2 linked regions of the Macaca mulatta genome follow. The protein of the gene in region 1 purifies or fractionates together with the protein of each later gene. This does not show direct contact. Links are inferred from orthologs where the notes say so. Each region holds a gene or a part of one and is shown in the gene's direction. Other genes may lie near its edges.

What was found.
Region 2: the proteins of LPA (region 1) and CANX purify together in Homo sapiens (affinity purification with western blotting; 3 studies listed by BioGRID). This does not show direct contact. The link is inferred for Macaca mulatta from reciprocal best matches to the Homo sapiens genes LPA and CANX.

The regions. Positions count from the first base shown.
Region 1 is NC_133409.1:11,558,714-11,565,180, forward strand, and holds the end of LPA (apolipoprotein(a)), read left to right. Parts: intron 1-4,297; coding exon 4,298-4,443; intron 4,444-5,079; coding exon 5,080-5,241; 3' UTR 5,242-5,492; downstream 5,493-6,467. UniProt on the Homo sapiens protein: Apo(a) is the main constituent of lipoprotein(a) (Lp(a)). It has serine proteinase activity and is able of autoproteolysis. Inhibits tissue-type plasminogen activator 1. Lp(a) may be a ligand for megalin/Gp 330.
Region 2 is NC_133411.1:188,693,042-188,699,508, forward strand, and holds part of CANX (calnexin), read left to right. Parts: intron 1-2,076; 5' UTR 2,077-2,079; coding exon 2,080-2,250; intron 2,251-2,660; coding exon 2,661-2,734; intron 2,735-3,536; coding exon 3,537-3,595; intron 3,596-4,945; coding exon 4,946-5,087; intron 5,088-5,531; coding exon 5,532-5,613; intron 5,614-6,410; coding exon 6,411-6,467. UniProt on the Homo sapiens protein: Calcium-binding protein that interacts with newly synthesized monoglucosylated glycoproteins in the endoplasmic reticulum. It may act in assisting protein assembly and/or in the retention within the ER of unassembled protein subunits.

The DNA.
Region 1 (6,467 bases):
GTTATAATTAAACTAGTCTTCTTCCCAAATACCCACATGTCTAACGTGTGTGGGAGGGTGTTAGGCAGGCGACCTACATCTGGGGAAGAGGCAGACAGGCCCCGTGGCCCCAAGTCTAGGATGGCATGTGGTATTGGTTGATGGGTGAGAGCAAGAGAGGGAACACTTGTGCAGGATGTGGTATCAGCACCTGTACTACACCTTAGGGATTCCTTCTCTTTGCAGTATACCCTGACAATAATTATATCCATCAGCCTTACTCCCTTGGCAGCAGGAAAACTAATACTCTTAATGTCTCAGTTCCACTTTCTTAGAGGTGCAGGTGAGGACATAGGGAGTCTGGGGCCCTGGAAAAGCGTTCTGACTCTGCCGCTAGCCAGATAGACCTGAACTAGACACGTTACCTCTTTGTATCACTTGGCTCTAATCCCTTATCTGTGAAACCAGCATTTTCAAGTGGTGCTTTGCACATCAGCCTTTTGTATACACTTTCATTTAATAAAAAATTTTTTGGGTTTTTTGAAAAGGTTAAAAACCACTGGCCTAGCTAATTTCAAAGCTGGGTTTCCTTTTTCTGTCCCTTTCCTATTACATTTAAAACCTCACCTCCTTGACTTCTTGTTCCCTTTTTCTGCACTGCAGTCTGGGAACACTGAGGCCAAATAAAAGGAAACTTGGCTTGAGGGACACCTATGGGTGTGCCAGGCTGCTCCTGGTGTTTGCATATTTTAAAATTTAAATACTAGAAACCTCTGCATGTTAGGTATTATTTTTTCCATTTTACCATTGAGGAAGCTGGGGTTCAGAGAAGGTGCAGGGTGACAAACCTGAACTGGAACTCTGACTCCCACCTATAAGCTGTGGGGACTTAGAAAAGTCATGAGCTCTCACTGATTGTTTCCTCAGCTGATGTGGGCTGCAGGGCTGTTATGGGGGAAATAATAAGAAAGTGCATCAAGTGCCGAGCACATTCTAAGCACTCCATCGTGGCAGCTCCTACTACTAATACAGAATAGAGTTGAATCTAACATGACTCCTTGCAAGTGACAGAAAATCCAACTCAAATTGGATTAAGCAAAACAAGAGAAATTCTTAGTGAGCTGAAAAGCTTCAGGCTCACATGAGGCCCCAGATCCCAGGCATTCCTGATCATGGAGTAGGCACTATTTGGGGCACAAAGGTGACACCCCCATTGCTGCAGATGCTGTCATGGCTCTAGCTCTGCTGAGAAAGAATAAGAAAGGCCACTCTCCCCATTACATGAACAATAGTCTGCCCACTCTGAGAGACTGAAATTGGGTCATGGTCCTGCCCCTGAGCCCGTCACTGATTGGCTCTGACCTGCATCAGCTGTTCCATGCTGGAAGTAGAGGCAGGACCCCATTCATACCCAGAAGGGAGCAAAAGGTATCCCTCACCAAGATTATGGGGTGTAGGGTGAAAGGCTGCTGGGCAGCCAGAAAGCAAACAGATCCTCTACAATACTTCAGCTGATGAAAGCATGAAGCTAAAATCATAAGGATCTGAGTGCAAGTTCTGGCTGTCCCACCTTCCATGTGACATTGGGCAGTTATTTAATCTCTTTTAGCCTCAGCTTTCTCATCTGTACTTACATATAAGGTGATTGTGAGGATGAAGATTATGCATCTTCATCCTCACCTTCCAACACAACCATCATCCTCATCACCATCATCAACACGATCATCATCATTACTACCACTACCACCATCATCACTACCACTACCACTACCACCATCTTCACCATCACCACCACCATCGCCAATATCATCACTCTCAACATCATCACCACCATCACTATCATCACCACCATCATCATTACTACCACTACCACCACCATCACCACCATTCCACCACCATCACCATTATCATTACCACCACCATCATCACCATCACCATTACCATTATTACCTCCACCATCATCACCATCACCATCACCATTATCATCACCATCATCATCAATACTAAAACCATCATCACCATCACCATCATCACCATTATCACTACTACCACCATCACCATCACCACCATCATCATAAATAAACATCACATAACCGGCGTGTAGCTGGGCATTGACCATAGAGCCCACTCGCTGTTTCCTCCCTCCACCCCCATCCACACATTTCTAACCACCATCCTGCACTGGCTCCCTGTCTCCTCTGGTCTCACCCACATGTCCACTGAGAAAATGATTCTCAGAACGCTAACTAGACCAGGAGGAGTCACACAACATAACTCAGGTCTGTTTATCCATTTTCTATATGTTGATGACATCAGATTAATGGGTGTTCTCAGCTTCTCAGAGGGAGGTCGAAATTCTCCCCTTCTCCCCTTCATGTTTCCAGAACTCCCTTCAGTTGGATATTCCAAATGCAGAGTAGGGGTTGAGGCCAAGGGGCTCTTCCATGTCAGCCCCATCTGCAATGACTGAGCTGGTCCTGCGGCCCTCTCCCCAGGGCCCAGTCAGGGAGGGCTTCAATCCTCAGGTCACCTGTGGCCTACCCTGCCCTCAGAGGTGCCATCTCTATGTTGGCCACTGGATGGCAGCTCATACTCACAGACTGCATCAATTTCCTGGCAACTAGTGGTGGGTTTACCCCCTTATCAGGATGTTTGCCTTGCTCTGAGAGCAGATCCAAAAGCAGTGATATCTAACTTAATTTTCAACAAAATATTTTGAAAAGGGTGCTCCCTCACACATCTACACAGTCCAGGTCATGCACCCCCTGCCTGGTGCTTGGTAGTCAGGAGGAGCTTCCTCCATGCAGCTCCTTCCCAGCTAGGGCTGGGAAGAGCCTCTTCCATGCTGCTCATGTAAACTCCAGATTCAGTGTCAGTTTTCTGAACCTGAGACAATGATCTAAATGCAGTCCAAGACTCTGAGGGGGGAAAGAGTGCCTCAGCTCTTGCCTGTGTCACGCTCGCAAAGCAAAAGATTTTGCAAAATTCTAATGAAAGCTGGGCTTGCAAAATTGGAAAACTAGATTATTTGTGAGAGCACTGAGACATCCCTGGGCGTGTCCATCTGGAAAAACAGCATTCCCTCTGGCAATTTAGCAGATGTTCTGCAATTTGGCAAAGGAAATAAAGCAGTTTTTCACAAAAGAAAAACTACAACTGGGAGAATTGCCCCTAGTTGTATTTCTTCTCCCTAATTGTCAAGGAAGTGTAAATCAGAAAATGAATCAGGACAATTTCTCTCTACTATGTTAGCTAATATTTTAAAAATTGAATACTCACAAGGGTGAGGCGAAGTAATTGTTTCCAGTAACATTTTATACCGTCACACCCTTTTAGAAAATAATTTGGGAGAGTTACTGCGAGACAGAAGTATGTCTATGTAATTATGGGAGCTTAGACTTAAAATAATAAGAAATGAGAATGAACTTTATGAACAAATATGTGGAAGGTTGGAAGCAAGAGTGGGACCAATGTGCTTGGGGAGGAAGCATTAGGGCAGTGACTCCACAGACCCAGGCTCAGGCTGAACTACACAACCTCCTTACGCCTCAGTTTCCTCAACTGTAGAACAGGAATGATGAAAGTGCCTGTTTCATAGGACGGTTGTGAGGATGAAGTGACATACACCACATTAAGAGCTCGTGCCTGGAAAGGTTAATTCTTAGTAAATGATGGCTATTCTTTTTTATTGCGATAAAATATACACAACGTAAGAGTTACTATTTTAACTATTTTGGCGGGTACCACTGAGTGGCATTCGGTACATTCACAATGGTGTGCAGCCATTGCCATATTTTCAGAACGTTTTCCTCATCTCAAAACGAAACCTCATGCCCGTTCAGCAGTCACTCCCCATTAAAATATTAGTTATGAAGATTGTAGCATTATTTTTAAAACTCGTGATATAACAGTGATTGAAAAAATCAGTACGTAAAATTGTGCATTATGATGTCAGTAGTAAAGAAGCCTATAAAAAATCTGAAAAAAGTATATAAAAAGAATAGCAATTGCATTTCTCAGACACTCTTTACATTGTAAAAATCATTTTTGGACTTTCAACACAAAAGCAAAAAGTACACAAACAACCACCAACCTGAAAGCACTATGACAAAGCCCAGCTAGTTAAATCCAGGTCTCAGGAACACAGAATCACATATGATGTTTACACTCTCCAGGGTCAGAGCGGCACTGGGAGCTGCCTTGTGTTCTGCAGCCTCACGGACAGGCAGGAGGTCCAGCGCCGCTGCTCTGTTCTTCTGGTTTCCTCCTAAACTTGTTTTGGGTGCAGTAACCATTTCTTTCATCTTTTTAAACACAGGTACCTTTGGGGCTGGCCTTCTCAAGGAAGCCCAGCTTCATGTGATTGAGAATACAGTGTGCAATCACTACGAGTTTCTGAATGGAAGAGTCAAATCCACCGAGCTCTGTGCTGGGCATTTGGCCGGAGGCACTGACAGATGCCAGGTAAGAAAAGATCAAGAGACCAAAGTTAGTCTTGTGCTCTTCCATCTCGGTCTCAGCCCCTTAGACTTCAGTCCCAAAGTGACAAATTCTAGAAGGATTTGTCAATGTTAGACCCCAGTTTAAGTGTTGCTCACAAACTCCCTAGATCTGTCCCTGAATGCGTATTCAGATAATCTAAGGAGATGTCTTGGGGCTTGGGTTTGAGATCTGTAGCAAGGGAGTTTTAAGTGCCGTAACTACCTCAGGTCACTCACCCTCCTGGGGTGTGCTGGTGGCCAGGGACTAAAGTGGTGACTTTTCTGGTAGGGAAGGAGGTAGAGGGTACAGGACACAGACCAACTGCACACACTTTACAGTGATGCCCAGGCTAGGCCAGTCTAAAGGAAACACCAACATAGGAAGGGATGTGTGCAGGATTCACAAGGGGTTTTTTACTCCCAGGAGAAACTAAGTGGTGTGGTTTCACTGAATAGACTTTGCTAAGTACTCAAGCAGTGCAGATGCTCGAGTAATATGCTCATAAGTTCCTTTCCGATTTCAATTACCAGGAAAATATACATGTGGATAATAGACGAATGCCATAATAAAAGGCTGGCAAGCTAACCCTCACCTGAATTTTTCCCTACCTCTGTTTAGGGTGACAGTGGAGGGCCTGTGGTTTGCTTCGACAAGGACAAATACATTTTACGAGGAATAACTTCTTGGGGTCCTGGCTGTGCATGCCCCAATAAGCCTGGTGTCTATGTTCGTGTTTCAAGCTTTGTCACTTGGATTGAGGGAGTGATGACAAATAATTAATTGAACAAGAGACAGAGTGAAGCATTGACTCACCTAGAGGCTAGAATGGGGGTAGGGATTTAGCACGCTGGAAATAACGGACAGTAATCAAACGAAGACACTGTCCCCAGCTACCAACTATGCCAAACCTCAGCATTTTTGGTATTATTGTATATAAGCTTTTCCTGTCTGACTGCTGGGTTCTCCAATAAGGTGACATAGCTATGCCATTTGTTAAAAATAAACTCTGTACTTATTTTGATTTGAGTAAATTTTGGTTTTGGTCTTCAACATTTTCACGCTCTTTGTTCATCCCACAAATTTTAAATGGGCAGACTGAGGGGGTTTAGCTGCTTTTGATAAGGAACAGCTGCACAAAGCCCTGAGCAGGCTGCAAGGTCACAGAGGGGAGAGCTGAGAAGCCCTAGGAAGTTGTCCATGCATTTACCTCATCAGCTAAAGAGAGCTTGACACACATTTTTACTGTCTTTATTTCTAACACTGAGGTGAATGTTTTCAAAGCTGCAACATGTATGGGGAGTCATGTGAACTAGTTCTGTTATTGGGAATGAAATCTGTCACTGGCTGCTTGACTTGAGCCCCGGAGTACAGAGCAGAGAGATGTATATACCATGGAGTGAATCGGGCCATGGACGTGTAACACAAGACCAGCTGAGAGTCTGAATGTTATTCTGGGGCATATGTGAGTCTAGGACTGGTACCAAGAGCACATAAATGAACAACAAGCAAATATTGAGGGTAGACCACTTGTTTCCCATTGCTAATTGCCTGCCCGGTTTTGAAACAGTCTGCAGTACACACGGTCACAGGAGGATGACCTGTGGCAGAGACACATGTTTAGAAGGAAGAGAAAGGGAAAATGTACATTCTTTACAATTTCAAATTTTAATTGTCACCAAACAAAAATATCCACTCAAAATACAATTCGACAATGCAACAGTCATCTTACAGCACAGAAATGCAGAGAAAAGCAGAACTGCAAGTGACTGTGAATAACGGGTGAATATAGTCTCAAATCCTCAAAGAGCTGTGTTTATTTCATCAACAAATAGGTTACTCGTATTCAATTCTGATGTGTTTTAAGGATTAAGATGCTCATTTTACAATTAGCGCACATGTGTATACTGTCACCTGTTCTCCTTACAGAAATGTTCTTCCTCATGGTTAATGTTTCCCTTTGGTACCAATTTTGCCTGTTCACATAAAGTATTTCATTTTAAAAACTC
Region 2 (6,467 bases), on another chromosome or scaffold:
AGAGGATGTGAGGAGAAAAGGACATCTTGTGTGTGTGTGTGTGCACATTTCTAGTTGTATATCTTCTACTTGTTTTCTCCCCCACCTTTTAGCTGTGCTTTCTCAGGGCCAAAAATGAAAATTTCCCTGTTACCAACCACATCATCTTGTGCATCTGTGTAGCTCAGTTTTTATTTCTTTAGATCTGTGGTCCTTGGAAAGAGAGCCCACTACCACCCAAGACACGTCTAATATAATACACAGGGCACTTACGTGGTTAGAAAATAAGAGATAAAAGTAGCTTGTTGGCCAGGCACAGTGGCTCACTCCTGTAATCCTAGCACTTTGGGAGGCCGAAGCGGGCAGATCACGAGGTCAAGAGATTGAGACCATCCTGGCCAACATGGTGAAAACTCGTCTATACTAAAAATACAAAAATTAGCTGAGTGTGGTGGCACACACCTGTACACCTGTAATCCCAGCTACTTGGGAGGCTGAGGTAGGAGAATCACTTGAACCCAGGAGATGGAGGTTGCAGTGAGCCGAGATAGCGCCAATGTACTCTAGCCTGGTGATAGAGTAAGACTCCATCTCAAAAAAAAAAAAAAAAGTAGCTTGTTTTGTCTAGGTGCAGTGGCTCACGCCTGTAATCCTAGCCCTTTGGGAGGCTGAGGCAGGCAGATCACCTGAGGTCAGGAGTTTGAGACCAGCCTGGCCAACATGGCGAAACCCCGTCTCTACTAAAAGGACAAAAATTAGCCAGGCGTGGTGGCGGGTGCCTGTAATCCCAGCTACTCAGGAGGCTGAGGTGGGAGAATTGCTTGAACCTGGGAGGCGGAGGTTGCAGTGAGCTGAGATGGTGCCACTGCACTCCAGCCTGGGCGACGGAGGGAGAATCCATCACAAAATAAATAAATAAAGTAAATATATGAATTTTAAAAGTAGCTTGTTCTTAGTTTAATATTCTTGTTGAGTTCTAAAACACTAATTTGAAAACATGTCTATTGATGGTATTTGAGCAACAGTATCCATATTAAACCTTTAATGTGACAGGAATTATTTTCTGTGTTATTTATTTATTTTTTTTGAGACGGAGTCTTGTTCTGTCACCCAGGCTAGAGTGTAGTGGCGCGATCTTGGCTCACTGCAGGCTCTGCCTCCTGGGTTCAAGCAATTCTCCTGCCTTAACCTCCCAAGTAGCTGAGACTACAGGCACCCACCATCGCGCCCAGCTAATTTTTGTATTTTTAGTAGAGACAGAGTTTCGCCATGTTGGCCAGGCTGGTCTTGAACTCCTGACCTAGTGATCCACCTACCTTGGCCTCCCAAAGTGCTGGGATTACAGGTGTGGGCCACGGCGCCCAGCCATCTCTGTTATTTCATTGTAATGTTTTAACAGGTACCCATTGTAAATTAGTGTAGGAAAGGGCTTTTGTCTGTTGTAAAACACTTTACAAATGCAAAAGTTTGTTGGAAATTGTATTTGAATGCCTCACATCTGTGTAACCAATCCTCTCTATATGAGGATGGTTGTGTATGTTTCAGTTTTATTTTGAAATTTTCTAGAAATGGAATCTTCTAACTGATTTTAGGGAAACCCTTTATCCTCTCTAGGCTGTCTTTCCTTATCTATAGATAAGGAAATAATAAGTTCTTTTTAGCTCTGTGATTTGAAAGCTTTAATTTTATTTTATTATTTTTTTTTATTATTATTTTTTTTTTGAGACGGAGTCTCGCTCTGTAGCCCAGGCTGGAGTGCAGTGGCCGGATCTCAGCTCACTGCAAGCTCCGCCTCCCGGGTTCACGCCATTCTCCGGCCTCAGCCTCCCAAGTAGCTGGGACTACAGGCGCTGCCACCTCGCCCGGCTATTTTTTGTATTTCTTAGTAGAGACGGGGTTTCACCATGTTAGCCAGGATGGTCTCGATCTCCTGACCTCGTGATCCGCCCATCTCGGCCTCCCAAAGTGCTGGGATTACAGGCTTGAGCCACCGCGCCCGGCCGAAAGCTTTAATTTTAAATGAGAGAGAGGTAGTGGTCTTTATGAAGTTTGATAAGTGGCAATACATTTAACTGATTTTGCTCTTTTTATGTGTAGATCATGGAAGGGAAGTGGTTGCTGTGTATGTTACTGGTACTTGGAACTGTTATTGTTGAGGCTCATGATGGACATGATGATGATGTGATTGATATTGAAGATGACCTTGACGATGTCATTGAAGAGGTAGAAGACTCAAAACCAGATACCACTGCTCCTCCTTCATCTCCCAAGGTTTGAAATGGTCTTTGAATCTATTCCTTTTACCTCTTGAGATGATAAAATTTTGAAGATAGCCAGGTGCAGAGACATGTAGTCTCAACTACTCAGGAGGCCTAGGACAGGAGTGTGAGTCCAGCCAGAGCAACACAGGGAGATACCATATCTAATAAAATATAAAAGAAAAACATCGTGAAGATAAATTTGGAACATTTTCAAAGGCAAAGCAAAATTTGCTAAAATACTTACTGATCTCTCTGGCAGCCTTTGTTATATCTTGCTAGAGGCCAATTATATGGGTTGAATTTGAAGGCTAGCTATGAAATTTTTGTGACAGTTGAAAGCAGACCAGGATAAATGATTCTAGGTAAAAAGGCATGTTGCTGAAAATTTAAATTTTTAGTTCATTTATATATTTAACACAGGTCACCTACAAAGCTCCAGTTCCAACAGGGGAAGTATATTTTGCTGATTCTTTTGACAGAGGAACTCTGTCAGGGTAAGTGTTTTCCAGAGAAATATATCTTAGAGGCAAACATTATGTAAATAAGATGGGATAGTGGATTCCTTTTTGGATAGCATCTTATATAGTGAAATGTCTAACTTTATTTTATTTTATTTATTTTTTGAGACGGAATTTCGCTCTTTTGCCCGGGCTGGGGTGCAATGGCGTGATCTCAGCTCACCACAACCTCCACCTCCTGGGTTCAAGTGATTCTCCTGCCTCAGCCTCCGAGGTAGCTGGGAGTATAGGCATGTGCCACCATGCTAGCTAATTTTTGTGTGTTTTTTTTTTTTTTTAGTAGAGATGGGGTTTTAACATGTTGGCCAGGCTGGTCTTGAACTCCTGATCGCAGGTGATCCACCTGCCTCAGCCTCCCAAATTGTTGGGATTACAGGCGGGAGCCACCGCACCTGGCTTGAAATTTCTAACTTTAATATCTTCAGTGTTAACATCCATGTAGGAAAATAGTCCTTTGGAATTTGTGGTTTTTACTTCCACTCCTTTCCCTCCCCCACTCTACCCTATATTTTGTTCTTTGATTGAGGAAAAAAAAATCTTCTCTTGATCTTGAAACATCAGTGGAATTATCTCTTAGGTTTGGTACTTTTTCATATAGGTTTGTGAGTTGAAGGTAATATATTATCATTAGTTGTGTGACAGATTTAAAGGTTGGAAGTAGAGTGGTTAAATAGGCTAAGAGCAGAATAAGTCTTATTTTTATGAGTATTTACATAATTTTCCCTCGCAAGACAACTGTCATTTTTAAGACTGATTTTGGGATTTGTGTTACTTACAGGTGGATTTTATCCAAAGCCAAGAAAGATGATACCGATGATGAAATTGCCAAATATGATGGTGAGAATTCCATTTGGTTTAGATATAATAGCAGATAGAGGTTTGACATGTTGTCTCCATGGCATTTCCTAGACTAGTTTAAAAGGAAATTGTAAGCTTTAAGATTTTTCCGGCCGGGCGCAGTGGCTCACGTCTGTAATCCCAGCACTTTGGGAAGCCAAGGCAGGTGGATCACGAGATCAGGAGATCGAGACCATCCTGGCTGACACAGTGAAACCCCGTCTCTACTAAAAATACAAAAAATAAGCCGGGTGTGGTGGCGTGTGCCTGTAGTGCTAGCTGCTGGGGAGGCTGAGGCAGGAGAATGGTGTGAACCTGGGCGGCAGAGCTTGCAGTGAGCCAAGATCACACCACTGCACTCCAACCTGGGCGACAGAGACTCCATCTCAAAAAAAAAAAAAAAAGAGGCTGGGCATGGTGGTTCATGCCTGTAATCCCAGCACTTTGGGAGGCCGAGGCGGGCGGATCACGAGGTCAGGAAATCGAGACCATCCTGGCTAACACGGTGAAACCCCGTCTTTACTAAAAATGCAAAAATATTAGCCAGGCGTGTTGGCGGGCGCCTGTAGTCCCACCAACTTGGGAGGCTGAGGCAGGAGAATGGTGTGAACCCAGGAGGCAGAGCTTGCAGTGAGCAGAGATCGAGCCATTGCACTCCAGCCTGGACAACAGAGCGAGATTCCGTCTCAAAAAAAAAAAAAAAAAAAAGATTTTTCCATGAAAGTTTTGCCACCTTTGTGCGTTGCCTAATGTTTCTTTTCTTTTATTTAAGGTTCGGGGTGCATGTGTAGCCTTATATTTAATAGGATTAGATCTGTTTAATCACCCGTGCTGCTGAATGTTGGAAATAAGTTATTTCAAGACAGTATAATATACTACAGTTTTATAAAACCATATCCTAATAATATTTGCCAAATAAAGTATGTTTGTTTATTTATTTACTTTCTTGAGACGGAGTCTCACTCTTGCTGCCCAGGCTGCTGGAATAGAGTGGCGCGATCTTGGCTCACTGCAACCTCTGTTTCTTGGATTCAAGCGATTCTCCTGCCTCAGCCTACTGAGTAGCTGGGATTACAGGTGCCCATCACCAAGCCCGGCTAATTTTTGTGTTTTTATTAGCAATGGGGTTTCACCATGTTGGCCAGGCTGGTCTTGAAGTTCTGACCTCGAGTGATCCGCCTGCCCTCAGCCTCCCTAAGTGCTGGGATTACAGGTGTGAGCCACCATGGCTGCCCCAGTATAATATATTTATGCAACTAGGAGTTTTGTTTTGTTTTTTTTTTTTTTTGGTGTTTGTAGGACCTTCAGAGGTAGAGTTAAGGAATAGAACTTTTTTGTTTTGTCTTGTAGGAAAGTGGGAGGTAGATGAAATGAAGGAATCAAAGCTTCCAGGTGATAAAGGACTTGTATTGATGTCTCGGGCCAAGCATCATGCCATCTCCGCTAAACTGAACAAGCCCTTCCTATTTGACACCAAGCCTCTCATTGTTCAGTAAGTGAAATGCTTGTTGGATAAAAGCTTTCTACAAAGGGTAATCTTAGAAGACATTATACAACTTTTATTTTATGTTAAAAAATTATGAGATTATATAACTTGTGGTAGGGATTTTTGGGTGAATTTAAACACCTTGTAATGGTTTTTCTTGCCTCATAAATTACTTTGAAAAAACTGGTTACTCATTTTCCTGACTGTAAATAACTTGTAGATTTTGCAGAACAAACTTACTGGAAATCTGCATTAATGTTCAATTTAATTTTATTTATTTTTGTGGGATTTGATAGCTATTCAAAAACAATAGAAGATGGAATCCTTTGTAAGGGGAAACATTTGACCTGTGATAAAACATGACCAAGATGAGGGAGAGAGGAAATACATTAAGAGAGTTTTGATCTTTCAAAATGCCATACGGTTTTCTGCCTTTCTCTCTGATATTAGGTACGAGGTTAATTTCCAAAATGGAATAGAATGTGGTGGTGCTTATGTGAAACTGCTTTCTAAAACACCAGAGCTCAACCTGGTATGTAATTCCCATTTCTGGAATGTAGCTGGACACCCACTATTACCTTGTAAGAATTTTGTAATTTGCGCCAGGTGCAGTGGCTCACACCTGTAATCCCAGCACTTTGGGAAGCCAAGGCAGGCGGGTCACGAGGTCAGGAGATTGAGACCATCCTGGCTAACATAGTGAAACCCCGTCTCTACTAAAAATACAAAAAATTAGCCAGGCGTCGTGGCGGCACCTGTAGTCCCAGCCACTCGGGAGGCTGAGGCAGGAGAATGCCGTGAACCCAAGAGGTGGAGCTTGCAGTGAGCCTAGATTGCACCACTGCACTCTAGCCTGGGCAACAGAGTGAGACTCCATCTCAAAAAAAAAGAATTTTGTAATACTTGTGAAAATAAAGGCTTCCTCCTGCTGTTTAACTCTTTTGATAAGTTGGGAATATTGACTTTGACACTAATGTGCTTTTTATTCGAAGTGTAAATTACAAAGTTGTTACCAACTGTTTTTATCTGAATTTCTGGTTTTGCTTCTGTGTAAGTTTTAGTTTTAGCAAGCTTATTTCTTTGTTTTACGAGGAAGCAGTAACTGTCTAGATGCGTGCATTACTTTTCTTAGGCACTTAAATGTTATTTTAAATTTACTGATGATTGCTTGTTATTCCTTTTCACTAAACAAACTTGTAGTTAGCTTTTCCTGTAACTGTCATTAATGTATTTGGAATTTTATAAGAGGAATTACCATACACTTTTGAAATGTTGCTTTTGAACACTTTGACTACAGTGACTTCAAATACTCCTTTTTTGTTTCTGAAGGATCAGTTCCACGACAAGACCCCGTATACGATTATGTTTGGTCCAGATAAATGTGGA